Linked DNA regions of Tamandua tetradactyla. Each later gene encodes a partner of the first gene's protein in a complex. Links are inferred from orthologs where the notes say so. Each region holds a gene or a part of one and is shown on either strand. Other genes may lie near its edges. The genes, in order: SPTLC2 and ORMDL3.

What was found.
Region 2: the proteins of SPTLC2 (region 1) and ORMDL3 are in contact, whole or in part, in a cryo-EM structure (PDB 7K0O), measured with the Homo sapiens proteins. The link is inferred for Tamandua tetradactyla from reciprocal best matches to the Homo sapiens genes SPTLC2 and ORMDL3. Residues at the interface, in NP_004854.1 of Homo sapiens: Glu65, Thr66, Pro67, Met68, Ala71, Val72, Tyr75, Tyr86, Gln116, Phe118, Glu119, Asn120, Phe121, Tyr122, Tyr127, Trp134, Asp259, Glu260, Leu261, Asn262, Val267, Arg271, Ile279, Met320, Val495, Val496, Gly497, Phe498, Pro499, Ala500; in NP_001307730.1 of Homo sapiens: Met1, Asn2, Val3, Gly4, Thr5, Ala6, His7, Ser8, Pro12, Val16, Ser19, Arg20, Gly21, Ile22, Leu24, Ser25, Leu28, Phe63, Val67, Lys68, Gly69, Thr70, Pro71, Phe72, Glu73, Pro75, Gln77, Arg81.

Annotation. Positions count from the first base shown.
Region 1 is NC_135338.1:36,978,754-36,985,830, reverse strand, and holds the start of SPTLC2 (serine palmitoyltransferase 2), read left to right. Parts: upstream 1-3,910; 5' UTR 3,911-4,211; coding exon 4,212-4,340; intron 4,341-6,988; exon of another isoform or gene 6,989-7,077. UniProt on the Homo sapiens protein: Component of the serine palmitoyltransferase multisubunit enzyme (SPT) that catalyzes the initial and rate-limiting step in sphingolipid biosynthesis by condensing L-serine and activated acyl-CoA (most commonly palmitoyl-CoA) to form long-chain bases.
Region 2 is NC_135332.1:27,330,483-27,338,167, forward strand, and holds the start of ORMDL3 (ORM1-like protein 3), read left to right. Parts: upstream 1-4,617; 5' UTR 4,618-4,745; intron 4,746-4,992; exon of another isoform or gene 4,993-5,142; intron 5,143-5,561; exon of another isoform or gene 5,562-5,669; intron 5,670-7,685. UniProt on the Homo sapiens protein: Plays an essential role in the homeostatic regulation of sphingolipid de novo biosynthesis by modulating the activity of the serine palmitoyltransferase (SPT) in response to ceramide levels.

The DNA.
Region 1 (7,077 bases):
GGGCCCAGTTACATAAGCTAATTGGTATCTGGCCACTATTGTAAAAAATATTATTTAAACTGCATGTAAGCAGTTAGACTTTAGAATATCAGAAGAGGAGAGGACAGAAAAAAAGAGAGAGAATCTTAACTGAGAGGAGAGGAGGATGCTTTGCATGGGACTTTTCCAGTTGGTCCCTGAAAATGCTGTCTCCAGGATTCCCCAGCACTCCTCTTCAGGTGTTGTTGGTGCTATTCCACCTGGTGATGCAACTATGTCTAATTTCTAACAATCTTTTAATTGCTTTCCTAATAAATCCTGTTTTATATCACTGAAGTCTGTGTTGTCTGTGAATCTGAGTCTCTAAATTAAGTGGCCACAAATATCATGTTGCCTTTCATGCAACAGAGAGAATAGCCAATACTCTTTTTTTGGGGGGTGGGGGGGGGGGGTGGCGCATGGTCCGGGAATCGAACCCAGGTCTCCCGCATGGAAGGCGAGCATTCTACCACTGAACCACCCATGCGCCCTATAGCCAATACTTCTTTAAAATGCAATTTTATTGAGATACATTCACACACCGTACAAACCATCCAAAATATACAATCACTGACACAGTATCATCACGTCGTACAACTCCATGATCAACTTTAGAACATTTTCATTACTCCAGAAAATAAGTAAGAAGAAAAAAAGAAAACCCAAACCCTCCCATACCCTTTATCCCCCCTATTATTGACCCATAGTATTGATGTGGTATTTTGTTACTGTTGATTAAGAATATTAAAATATTACTGTTGGGGGTTCGAGGGTAGTTCAGTGGTAGAATTGTTGCCTGCCATGCAGGAGACCAGGCTCGATTCCCTGGCCCATGCACTTCCCAAACAAACAAGCAAACAAACAAATGAAAAAACAAACAAAACAAATCTTCAACAAATGGTGCTGCAAGAAGAGGATACTTACACGGAAAAAGAATGAAATATGACCCCCCACCATACAGCATACAAAGAAAAAATATATATATTACTGTTAATTATAGTCCATACTTTGCAATAGATACATTTTACCCCCATATAACTCTCTATTATAAACTCCTTGTAATAGTGTCATACATTTGTTGTAGTTCTTGAAAGAACTTTAAAATATTTGTACAGTTAATCATAGACATCATCCACCATTAGATTCATTACAGCCAGGACATTTTTTAAAATCAGGCTATTATATAATTTTATTTTGAAATCAACATTACTGCTGTTTAATTTGCAAACAGTCATATGCACACATTTTAAGTGTAGAATTTAAGTTTTGACATAAGTATACACCCATTTAACCAACACCCCAATTAAGATGTAGAACACTTTTATCACTTCAGAATGCTTCCTTTTGCCTTTTTGTATTCAGTACTCTCCCCTTCCCCCCTCCCTAAGACAACCACTGATACGATTTCTACCCTTGTAGAATAGTTTTGTCAAATAGACGAAATCAAATTCTTTTCTGCCTGACTTCTTTTGCTCAGTGTTGTAGCCTGTACTTTTTGAGTACAATGGGACAGGCCCTAGTACTAAATATTTTTCTTATTTAATGCCCACGACAATTCTATGAGGGAAGTCTCATTTTATAGATGAAGGAACTGAGGCACAGAGGGTTTAGGCAACTTTCCCTAAGTCATAAGGCTTCTAAGTGCTGGAGCTGGGTCTCTAATCCTATTTGTCTGACAACAGAGCTTTTGCCTCTAACTACTGCCTTTCAAGATAAAGAATTCCAAAGCAATGCTCACACAGGTGTGTATAAAGTTCACTAAGTAGAAAGGGAATAATTTTATGGGGAGGCTGGAGTTCAAGAAATGCTTCAGGGTTGAGGTGGTTTGAGCAATCTTGAAGGAAAGGAAGAGGTGTCTCCTCAGTATTTAGCATAGAACTTTGCATATGAACTCAGTGGAATGATAAAGTGGCTTATGCATCAGTAAGGAGTTATTTTCCTGCTTACATGGAGCTTAAGGTGTTTCCTACAGCCTTCTGAGGCATCTTCTTTGCGATTTAGCAATGAAATAGGAGTGATCAGATCATTTGTGCATTATATCATTCAAGTTCACAAAAGTCCTGCAAGGTAAGTAATACAGGTATTGACTTTGTAAGACGGGTGAGGAAACCAAGGCTGAGAGATTGCATGATTTGGCTAAGACCACATATGGTGAGTAAGTGGCAGAACAAGACAAGAAGGTGGTGTCCTGCCCTCAGGAGGGAGGGACTGGCTAATAGGATTCCTCTAATTTAGCCTGGCTCCTTTATTCTTTTTTTTTTTCTTTTTCTGACTCCTTTGTTCTTGGGCTCCAGTTTCAGGCTTTGTTCCTTTCTGCCTTTGCATTTTAGCTTCTGAAGATTCTTTCCCCTGGAATACCCTTCTCATTTTCAGTTCTCCAAATTCTGTTCATCCTCCAAGATCAAGCCCATTCCACATTTTACTCCCAAGCCTTCTGCCTACTCCAATCCATTCAGCACACTATTTAAGCTTCAGGTCAACTTCCTTAGTCCTGCTTCCAACCAGATTTCTGCAATGTATTTAGAAAGTCTAACTTTATCACTGCCTACCTCAACGGATCTCCTGCCCCCAACCTCTCCAACATTCTGTTGACCTCTTATTATTGTTTACTTTATATCTGTACATCTTGTCTCTCACTAGAATGTAAATGCCACGAGGGCCAACTCCTATTCCTTTTGTAGCCTCATCCATCTATAACCGACCTAAGTACATTTGGGGATCACAGCGTTTATTGACTCAAAGAGGTTATCTTTTCTATCTACCTGCTGTTAGATTGTTCTACTACTAAATCATGCAAAATTAACACCTTGTCAACCTCCTTTCTAAAGCTCCCCAGGTGACAAGGCAGAGGCTCTCATAGGCACACTCAACAACTACCAATAACTAACACTTAATGAATACTTAGTAATCGCCAAATCCTTATAAAATATACTACATATATTAACTCACTTAATCTTCACAACAACTATTATTATCCTCATTTAACAAATGAAAACACTTAGAGGTCACTCAGCTGGTAAGCTGAGTCTGACTTAAACCGGACTATCTGACTCTAAAGTACAAACTCTTAACTATGATACTATATTCCTGACAGGTAACTGAAAGTAATATAGACCCATTTCCTTTCTTTCTAATTCCCATGAGAAGGTAGAAATAAAGGACTGAGAAAATAATATTTATTGGGCTCCTTGTAATGGGCCAGGCATTATTATAGGTGCACAAAACATTATTAACATGATTCTCTCAATGACTCTGTGAAGCAAGAAGCATTAATTCCACTTTACACATGAAGAAACTGGCTCCCAATGTAAATATTCAAGTTTAGCTTCCAGTTATTGGCAAAGTTGGAACTAGACCAGGTTTTCTGACTTTCAGGGAGGTGCTGTTGAGAGGAGATCGTATAGAAAACCCTGACAGGAATAACCGTGAAGGGCAAAGAGATATCTAAAATGGCTACTTAAACGTGTTAATTTATCTAAGGAATGTGTAGTGCATATTTAAGAATAAGAGAATGCCAAAAAAAGGCTGTTCTATTAAGACCCACAGAGGAATTAGCTAATTAAATGAAGGAGCTGCCTGTCTTGGGTTGAGAAGCAAACTCGAGAAGTTCCCGGGGGGTTGGGGAGGTACTAAATTGCAGCAAGGGTGCCATCAATCTAGGAGAACCAAGGAATCCTCTCGAGATTTAGGCTCAACCTCCTTTTTCCCTCCTACTCTATACGGCTACTTCTTCCTGAACCCCGCCTCCTTCCCCCAGCCTGGACCATTAAACAGCCAAGCCTAAACTCCCGACCCGGCAAGGGCCTCCAATCAGGTGCCAGGTCCTCAGTCCCTCCAGAGAAGCCCCCGTCGACCCCGGCGAGTCGCTTCACTCTCGCCGGTGATTGGCCAGGCGGCCACAGGGGTACGCCTCCTTCTCGTCCAGATTGGCCAGCAGCGCCTAGGCCCACTTCCCCGTTTAGTGCGTCCCCATCCCGGTTCCCCCTTTGCTGCGGAGCCTTGGGCGAGCCGCGTCCTCCGCGGGAGTGGGCCCCACCCCGATGTGACGGTCCGGCCTGGAATTGGCGGCGGCGCGGCAGCCATTTCCGGTTTCGGGGAGGTGGGTGGGGTGCCGAGCGGGGCTAGGAGCCGTCGCCGTCACCCCGGCCAAAGCCGTCTCCACAGTCTGCCTTGCTCCTGGTGCTGCCGGGACGATGCGGCCGGGGCCAGGAGGCTGCTGCTGCCGCCGCCCGCTGCGGGCGAACGGCTGCCTGGCGAACGGAGAAGTGCGGAACGGCTACGTGAGGAGCAGCGCCGCAGCCGTCGCAGCCGCTTCCGGCCCGGTACGGTGGGACCGCGCGGCCGGGCGGGACTGGGCGGGACTGGGCGGGAGAGCGGTGGGCCGGGATGCGGCGAGCTGGGGGCCTCGCGGAGCGGGCGGAGGGGCGGCCGGGCGGGCGACGTCGCGGTGACCGCCTGCGGGGATCGGCACTGGGCGCGGCTCAGGTGTGCTGGCTCAAGGGCGGCTTGGAGACTTTCCGATTTCTGCGTGCCTGACCGTCTCCCTCCCTTTGCTCCCGAGGTTTGGGATCTGCTCAAGAGTCCCGAGTCCGTTTTTAGACTTGACCCGACTAGAGCTGCGGGCCGCCTCCCAGGGGAGGCAGTGAGTGGCCCCTCGGACCCCTATGGGATCCGCTCAAGGCTCTCGGTTCTTTGTCCCGAGGCTCCTTGCTCTCACCTTTGTGGTTGCTTCCCCTTGGAGTCCTGAAGGTGTCCAAGGAAAACCACCCTTGGGGTCCTAAAGAGGCAGAGAAAGTTAGGAGGTGGTACGAGGCGGAAATGCCTCGCTTCCTCCTACCACGTTTTAGATCTCCACATGCTAGACGTTGGATCTTAGATCTGGCACTATATCTCGGTCCTCTGCCTCCAAAGCATTATATCTTTTTACGTTGCAGATGGGGAGACCCTATACCGTCTGCAGGAGAGACTTTGAGTTTCGTGGTCCCTAGGACCCTTTTAGCAAGGGAATTGTTTAACCTTAGTGACTTGTGATGAGTCTCTATGCTAATTAACCAAGACTGAATGAATCACCACCCAGCTCAGGCAGTTCTAAAATATTTTGGAAAGTTCGGAATTCAAGAGAGCAGTATGTCAATCTTCCAATTCTCTGTGCTGACAGGTATTCTGCTGAGAGGTATTTTTTGAAGATGAGCCTAGTTAAAAAGATGGAAGAGCAGTGTGTTGTTGGAAGAGAACGTTGTGGTCATTTTGCAATTGACTTTTAATACTTATGTCTCATTCAGAGGTTTAGAAAAATATAAAACAGTAATCAGTTCTCCTTTGCAGAAATTGTGACAGTTGCAGTTTTTGACAGGTGATTTTAATTTACCTTTAACTAAATATATGCAGTCTTCTCCCACAGTTAGTGTATAGTAGATAGGCCTGTTACTGTTGATAAGAAAGAAAAAACAAAGCCTTTCTTCAGATCATACTGAGACATTGAGACCTGAGAAGTGGGGAGAAAAATACACACACGAAAAAATACCTGACCGCCCCTGAGGTTGTAGGGTGCAAGGCAAAATAATAGAACAAAAGATTTGTTTTCATTTCTTAAAAAATAATTGCGTGAGAGGAGTTGGTAAGAATCAGCTCATTATAAATGGTGGAAGATAGTTTTGTTTTCCTAGCAACGTAAGTGGCTGACTATATAGGTCAGAGGTGTGGAATAGAATATAGTAGGGAAATTTAATGGATAGGAATTAGAAAATAATTGCAAATGAGTAAGTGGAATAAGATTGCTAAGAAATAAAAGGAAATCGAGAGAATAGTGTTCACATTTTAGGGGTGCTTTGTGTGTAAGTGTTCTTTTCATTTTATGTAAGTTATCTTCTGATTTAGTTGTAAGTCAAATGCCTCTCGCCTATAATCACTAACAGTTTAGTATTTATAGGCATGCTCTTTTTTCAGAGGCTGCCAACTAATAACATTGGTGGCATTTGCAAGAATGGTCAAGTGGAATGCCCTGAGGAATGTTTAGGGTTGCAGTATTCTTTTTAGAAAACTACTTCTCAAGTCTTTGTTAAACAAAGACTAGGTCTGTGGCTTTGTGCACTAATATAGAGGAATATTGTCTATGACATTTTTTCCTTTCTTTTTTTTTTAAGCAAAAGAGCAGATCTTGGTAACTTGAAAGCAGTATAGAATTAAATTTTTTTGTTTGTTTATATTAATTTTGTTTTAATTACTATCTTCCCTTGCCAATTATGCCATAAAGAATATATATGAGATAGATGTTAGGCACACAGATATGTGTCATGCTTTCACTAAGATATAAATTTATATTATAGCATAGTTTTTAAACCAAGATATAAATTCATTTCTTGACATATCCCAACATTTGTCTTTTGATGAACAGGAGATCAGTTAGACTAGAAAACTTGTTAGGATCCCATCACACTCTTAAGTCTGTTTCTGAATTTGAAAGGATAAATGGATATGTTTAAAGAGCTACTCTGTTGAGTTTGGATTTATAGTTTTATTAAATAGATTCTGTGGTTGGACGAGGTATGAAACCATCAGGCGTTATTGGTTAATGATGACAGTAGACACAGAGTTTTCTCAAGGAAGAGTAGCAGTTAAACAATACAGTAATTTTTCCTCCCTGTCATTCAGATGGGTGGGAAGAAGGTCAATCCTTATGTAAGGGAGAGGGTGGCAATTAACCTTTGGGTAACTTTGGCAGATTTAGAGCTGGAAGAAACCTTCCGGGATTTATATAATTTAGTCCCTTTATTTCTTTCTGTGGATTTAGCATTTGATTAAATAAATATGACGTTTTGGTTGCCCCTAAAATATAATGCTATTGTTTGTTTTTCAAATTCCTTATTAACAGCACTTTAACAAAAACCTTTCATTCTTTATAGAAATTTTAAGATTTAGGCACATTTTACCTTCTTTAATTAGTTAAGTATGGAAGGAAAAAAATTATTTGCATTTGAGATAGTTTTGAACCTAACTTTTTTTCGCCTTGGTAGTAGTTTTAATGAGATATTAGAAGAGTGAAAGCCTTCTAGTTGCCAA
Region 2 (7,685 bases), on another chromosome or scaffold:
CTTATGTACAAATACAGTCACTTGGTAGCCTAGGGGTGGGCTCTGTCCAAGCCATTTGCAGGGGGCAGAGGAGCTTAGAGGATGAAGCAAGGGACTCTGCTTGGACAGCTGGGAACGCATTACAGAGAAGGTAACAGATGAACTTGGCCTTAGGGATGAATGGGGTATACCAGATGGAAAAGGAGAGGCGGACAAGTATTGTAGGCCAAGATAAGAGCAAGAGAGGGTAAGGTATGTTTCATGAATCAGTGTGGCTATAGATGGGGAAGTGTGGTTCAGTTATGTACTTCAGCTAATATTTACTAAGAATCCGGTATTTGCAGGAAATGCAAATAAGAGTAAGACATGGAGTAAACAGCCCTAGATGGGGGAGGAGATAGTGAACAGATATAGCATCTTCAATGCAGTGACAGAGGTGTTAACAAACCTCTTGGAACAGGAGGGCCAGTGGGGTGGGCAGGAATGGCTTTTGGGAGAAATGCCACTTCCTAGACTTGTGACCTTTAGCAAAACATCTAAACTCATTGTGCTGCAGTTTTCTCACTTATGAAACGGGAATAACAAAAGTACTTCACAGCGCTGTTTTGGAGTAAAAGAGTTTATACAGGCCCAGTGCCTGAAACACAGCCAACACCTAATAACATCAGTTGTGATTGTTTCTGAAGGACATATAGGTGTTAGGCAGGGGAAGAAGGAGATAAGGGGCAAGGGCCACCCAGAATTTCTAAATAGGTGCAGCCTACTAGGGGTACAGATGCAATTGAAAGGGTGCTGGGGGTCCTGTTTTGAAACTGTCAATGCAGCAAGCATACTTTTTAATACCCATTGCTCTTTTGATCCGTAACATTCGTCATTTTCTAAACTGCTTTTGGTCATGGGAGAAATGCCAATTGTCCACACCAAAAAAATAAGCAGATTGAGTGGTTCTTCAAGTTCTGCATTGCCCGTGAGTCCCAGAGGGAGGTCTCCTTCCCAGGCTTCGGCTCTGGCTGCAGAGGCCCTGGCCAGTACTGCCCTTTCTTTCCACAGCCCCAAAATAACCAACCACAGGGACCCGCAGAGAGAGGCCAGGCAGGGCACTGACCTGCGACGTGGCCAGTCCCTGCACACCCTCCTTGCTTCTAAGCTGCTCTGCAGCATTCAGGAAGTTCCCTCAGTGCTCCTTTGTCTGCTTAGCACCCGCCCCTCACGTGCCCCAGGGTGCTCCCCTACCACCACCACCCCCGCCCCCAAACAAAAACAGAAACCCAACTGCCAATTAAATAAATAGCTCTTTCCTTCCTTGCACTTGCTCTGGGTGTGACATCAACCCCTTCAGGAAGGGGGTAGGTCAGAGCAGGCTAGGAGTGAAGGGGTATCCTTCTCTTTCCCAGGGTCGGGGGAAGGGGCTCTGCTTCTTGACGCCCCACCTCCCTCCCCACTGCCCCGGAATCTGCTCTCTGTTTATTACCGTGCCCTCTGTTTGCTATCTCAGCTCAGGCCGGTGTATCTGTCGCAGGCAGAAGCCGTCCCACCCCGCCAAGTGGTAACACCCCAAGGCTGGGGAATGTGAAGTTCTCCCAAGATTGCAGACCTGGAGCTCCCAGAGCGCAGGGAAAAGCTGTGAGGGCAGCTCACTCTGTTTTGTTATTTATTTATTTTTTTGCATGGACAGGCACTGGGAATCGAACCGGGGTCTCCGGCATGGTAGGCAAGAACTCTGCCTGCTGAGCCATCTTGGCCCGCCTTTACTGCTTTTAAAACACATTTCATAAAAAAATGTAAAACTGTGTAGGCCACAATGGCTCAGCAGGCAGGAAGGCTTGCCTGTAATGCCAGAGGACCCGGGTTCGATTCCCGGTGCCTGCCCATGTTAAAAAAAAAAAAAGTAATACTAATAATATCACATTACACAAAGTTTGAAACTAGAGAATGAAAAAGATCACCCCTGATCCCTCTATCCTAACACAAGGTCTGTTTCTGTTTTGTTGACTTTCCATAGCCTAGTAAAGTAGATGCTCAAATATTTGTGGAATGATTTAATAAAAGAGACCCCCATTTTGTTTCTTTGTTTATTTAGTTAGTTGTAGGTTTACAGAAAAACCAGGTAGAATGTACAGTTCTCATATCCCCCCACCCACTCCCATCCTACATAGTTTCCTCTATTAACATTTGGCAAGACTCTATTTTTGCTTATCTTAAATGTAGTATATATACAGGTTTTTACAAACTTTTTTTTATTGTGGACAATTCCAAACATCAAAAAAGTAGATATAATACAAGGAACCTTTTGTTCCCATTACCCAGGTTCAAAAGTTATCACTTCATGGCCAGTAGTGTTTCTTTTCTTCTACGCCCAGATTATTTTGAAGAAAATTTAGTCATAGTATCATTTTGCCTACAAATATTTGGCATATATCTCTACACAGGATTTTTATTAAAAATATTACCACACTACCATATCATGCCTTAACATTTATAATTCCTTAATGCAATAAAATATTTAGTCAGTATTTGAATTTCCCTGATAATTCAATAAAATCTTTTTTTGTTGTTAAGTTGGTTTGTTCAAATCAGGGTCCAAATAAGGCTTTTGGCTGATATATTAATTTTACATCTGTAAGTCTCTTCTCTTCCTTTTCTTCTTCCAATTTCTCTTGAACAGCCCTGTTCCCTTCATGCAGGATTTTGCTAACTGCATCCCTGGGAGATGCTTCTGTTATTCTGCATCCTGATCTTTTCATATAACTTAGCAAACATTTTCCCATACTGCTACATAGATTTCACAACCATTTATTAAATGGCTGCATATCATTCCCTCCAATGGATATCATAATTTTTTTCTTGGGCATTTAGGTTGCTTTTAGGTTTCCACTAACAGGAATAATGCCTAATGAACATCACCACACAGTGTAGCTTTTCTTGTACACGGGAGGATTTCCTGAGAATATGCTACCAGAAGCGTAATTACCTGATTGCCCTTCCAGCCACGTGGCACATATTGCTACTTGCTTGTCCAGGGGGGTTGCATGTCCCTCGGTACCTCGTGAGAGCTGTGCACTCTGAACGGCGCCAGGGCCATTTGTGGCCAAAGGATGTTTGGTGAAAATGGGATAATTATGAGGGCAGAGAGCTAGAGGAGAAATATGATGACAGGGACTCGGGCTAAATAAAGTAGAAAGCAATCCTCAGTTCACCACAAATCCACAGTTTACATGGCACGGCTAGTAATCTCTCCGTTAGAGTCTCTATCAGTCACAACCTTACCCGAGATGTGGATCCAGTGTGAGGAAAGTAGCAAGGATCCAGAGAGTTTGAGCAAGTCGAAGGACAATGGAAGAATCTCAGAGTAAATCAAAGGAATCAAATGGGCTTTTTTTTTTTTACATGGACAGGCACCGTAAATCGAACCCGGGTTCTCTGGCATGGCAGGCGAGCATTCTTGCCTGCTGAGCCACCGTGGCCCACCCTAAATGGGCTCCTTTTGAGAAAAAAGGAAGAGGTTTTCTTTTTCTTTCTTTCTTTTTCTTTTGTTTGCCTCTATGGATGGTTTTGTGAAAACACTTAGTCGTTTCCTTATGGCTGCAGAAGGTTGGGTCTAAGGAAAGGAGCCTTCACAAAGCAGGAAACACTTCTCTAAGACACAGGAAGAACTTGTTCAGACTCTGGGGTGATTATCTAGATTTTGGGATTGAAGCTCTTGGGCCACTGGGCATGCAAATATTCGAGGAACCACATGTTCTCTTGCTCTGGTTGGTTCAAATATTCACTTGCCCAGGTGCCTCTGGGGGTCCCACCTTGTGACACCTTGTGACAACTGCTTCCTAACAGTCCCCTGGGATGGGTTGGGAAGTAGGCAGAGGAAAGTGCTCCCCAAGTTTCCTGGGCCAGTGCTTTCCTCCTGTCCCCTCGTTGTCATTTTAGGATGTGTTTGCAGTCAGTCAGATTGGTACATCATGCTGTGGTTTGATCCCCTATTCCAGCCCTGCCACACATACAGTGGCTTTAAAGAGAAGCTATGTGGGGGAGTGGAAACTACCCAGAGAAGGCCCTTTTGGGGACCTGGAAAGTGGAAATGAGTTAGGAGTCCTCAAAAGTTGAACCTCCTACAGAAATAGCTTCCTACAATGCAACAGGTGTTTTAGAATACATTCTTTTGAATTCACACAAATGCTGAAGGAACGATTTCACAGGTGCGGAATTGGTGAGATTAAGACAAATGAAATAATCTGTCCAGGGTCCCGCTGCTGGTACAGAAGTGCCTACACTACCTCAACCTGGCAGTAAATCTGGTGCTTTCCCTTTCGGGGCGTACAGAAACGAAAACTGTACACAAGAGAGATGGAGCCTCCCACACATTGACCTGGGAGAGGAATTCAGTCACCTAACTCTCCATTAAGGAGTATTTCCATGACACATGGCCTTCTTCTCTGCAGCCTGCCGGGGGCGGGGTGAAGGCCGAGCATGTGGGCTGGACAGGACGTTCTGAATCAATGCTGTCTCTGGGCCACCTACTCCACCCTCCAGTCTCTCACCCCAGCCAACATTGTAAGGACTCGCTCCCAGGAGAGCCCAGCGAGCCCAGGGGCCGACCTCGTGCGCTTTTTGGAAGAGCCAATCTGGGATTAGGGCGGGGGCGGAGAGATGTAGTGGAAAAAGCCTTTCCTTGGGGTCAGAATCCTAGGCTCTGGTCCAGGGGCTCAGCGGGAAATTTCAGCAAGTTACTTAAGACTCCAAGTTTCCTCACGTGCAAAACCGAAGTGACGGTAAGCCGCAGTTGGTGGACGAGGACGAGAAAGCAGGGATTTTTATGCGCCAAAGTCATACCATTTTATTATCACATCCGGGTGAGGCATTCGGTTCTGCGATTCCAGCGAGGTCGCGACAGGAGCAGCGGGAAAAAACTACAACTCCCAGGAGCCTTCGGGCAGGTCCGCGAGAGGGGCGGGGGAGAAACTACAACTCCCAGGAGGCACCGGGCAATCTGGCGCGGGGCGGTGACGTCACGGGGGCCGGCACGGGGCGCTGATTCGGCCCGGGCTGCCAGCGGGGAGGCTGCCCCTGCGGGTTGTTACAGGGCTGGGGCAGCAGCGGTCCCGGCGCTTGCCCCGTCCCGCAGCCCCCGGGTACCCGTCCTGGGCCCTCGACCTCTGGTTTCGCAAGGTGAGTCTGGACGGGCGGCCTCCGGGATGGAGGGGCCGGAGGGTCTTTGGCAGTAGAGGCAGGGGGTCCGGAGAGGAGTGGGGGCTGCCGGGGAGGCGTCCCGGGCTGGAGGAGACCTGGACAGCGTGAGAATGGGGTGCATCAGCCTAAGGGGCGCCCAAAGAGGGACGTGGGGGCGGGAGGTCGGGGTTCGGACGACCGGGAGGGGCGCTGTAGCTGGGAGTGGGGGGCGGGGAGCGGCTTGGCTTTGGGGATAAAGGTTTGGCCGCTTCCAAGGCTTGGTGTACGCGTGGAGATGGGGGTGGGGCCCTGGAACGGGCCAGGCTTCCAGTGCTAGGTCCCGGGCTGGGGAGCGGAGTGGGAGGCTCCTCCGGCGGCCGGAGGTCCCATTCAGAAAGCCCCACAACAATAGTGAGAACTCCGCCTCCTCGCTCCTCCCTCTTTCTGGGCTCTTGGGGGTTTGCTTCGGTACTCGCGGTCTTTCTTCTCCCACGGCGGAGTCCCGGAGGCCCAGCCGGAGCTGAGAGGTGAGGAACTGCAGCCTTTTCTGGGTTTGGAAGGTGGGCGGAATGGAAATGGCGTTGTGGAGTGCTGCCGGGGACTCTCCGTTGGGGTGCAGACCTGGATTTTTGTACCCTGAACCCAGAAAGCAAAAGGTTTGCGTAAAGGGCTGCCCTTACCTGGGGAAGGGGATGGAAAGCGCTCACCTGGCTGCTGCCCTGGGGCATACTCTGGCCTTGACTTAGTTGTCTGACAGACTGGCAGAGCCAGGATAGCAGTGTGGGGTGCCAGTGGGTAGGGGAGGGAGGAGGAGGAGTGGGAAAAAACTGCTAGCAAGAAAGTGGTTAACAGAACAGAGTTGCTGCAGGCACTGGTTTGGGGCAGGTTTTGAAACCACATCAGGGGCTGGTGCAGGCAGCCACCTGCCAGCTGTGGAAGTAGAACTTTTCAGGCTGGTCTGCTGTTGATTGTACCTCTGCTGGCCTCTTCTCCACGTTTCTTCCCTTCAGGGAGAGGGGTCAACTGATTATTTTACTAATGGAAGTGATATTTACCTTTACTCACAAGGGTGCTTCCTGGCTGTCAGTCTTTTTTTTTGGTTTATGGATTTCTTCTGCCTTTGTCTTTTGGGGGGCAGGGGGCAAGGAGGTGTTCCTGGGTTTTTCTCCTCTCAGTGCACCTAGTGTTCAGTGTCAGGAAGAAGCTTCCCAGAGCAGTTAGCTAGGACATGGGGTCTAGGCCCCTCCTACACCATTCAGGCTGGATGACAAGACCTGTGCCAGCCAGAAGGGGGTGTTGGGTCTTGTGATCTAGGATTCAACTAGGGTCTTGGCACTTTTGGACAAAATACTAGGGAAAACTAGAGGTCTTTCTATACCACCCCACACCTGGGTGCGGTAGTCTGGGTAGAGAGAAGGAGGGGAGGTGTCGGGAGAGCAGCAGTTTTGGTCAGACTTGGGGAACTTTTCCCTTCAGTTAGTAATAAGTCCTTCAAACTCTCACTTCACAGCCTCCGCACACACACACACCGAGGCTTTTATCTAGTAGTAGGTATCCCAGGGGCTGTGTTAGGGTAACTGAAGCCCCAAGGCCCTAGGAAGGTAAACAGCCGAGCTGGCTCTGGTTTTCTACTTCCTTAGGCTTCTGATAGGCCCAATTATCCAGCCTAATGGGCTAGGCTGATGAGCCCCAGGAGCATCGCTTCTTTCACTTGTCACCTTGGGCCAGCCCTTATGTTTGTATGCTGGGAAGATAAGTTATAAGGCACGTTTTCCCTGAGAGCTCTAAGCTTGGAGCTGAATGAGAAAAAGAAACTTGCTCCCATTATCCTGGAAATAGAGAAGGGACCCTTGGGAATTCTGGCTCTTGTGCAGACCCGCTTGGGATCCTGGCCAGAGGGAGACTGCAGATGATCTGAGAGGGTTGTTTGCAGTGGAGTGAAAAAGGTGGCCTTCTGGGCACTCCCAGAATAGCTGCATTTGGGGTCCCTTTCTGCATCTCCAGGAAAGATTGGTGAGGACCTTATGGTCTTCGTGAGGCAGGACATTCCCTTGAGCAGGAAGGTGAGTCAGTACACAGGCACCATCTGTTCCCATCTCCAGCTAGTCCAGGACCCTCAGGGATCTGGGAAGAGCCAAGCTCTGGACAAGGGACTGCTCATTCCCCTCCCTGCCTTCTCCACGTCACTTAACCCACTCTGGGTTGTTGCCACCATTGTTTCTTGGGCATGAAGGGCAGCCCTCCTGGTTCCTCCCGCTGCATAGCTTCTACCGTTGGAGTTGGGAAGGTGGAGATATGGTGTTAACTTACACCTGGAAGTAGGTCCTAGTTTGGAAAGAAGGCTGAGGTGAGGATAGGCGGGGCAGAGAAGGGCAGGAGGGAGGCTGGAGGTAGGGCTTTGTGTTCTTGGGAGGAGGGTGTTGCTATGGATTCCAGCTACCTGTGGGAGCGTAGAGTCAGCCAGGTTTTTTTTCCCATTCATTATACATTTTATTGTATTTCCTTCTGTACTTAAAAAAATTTTTTTTTATTAATTAAAAAAA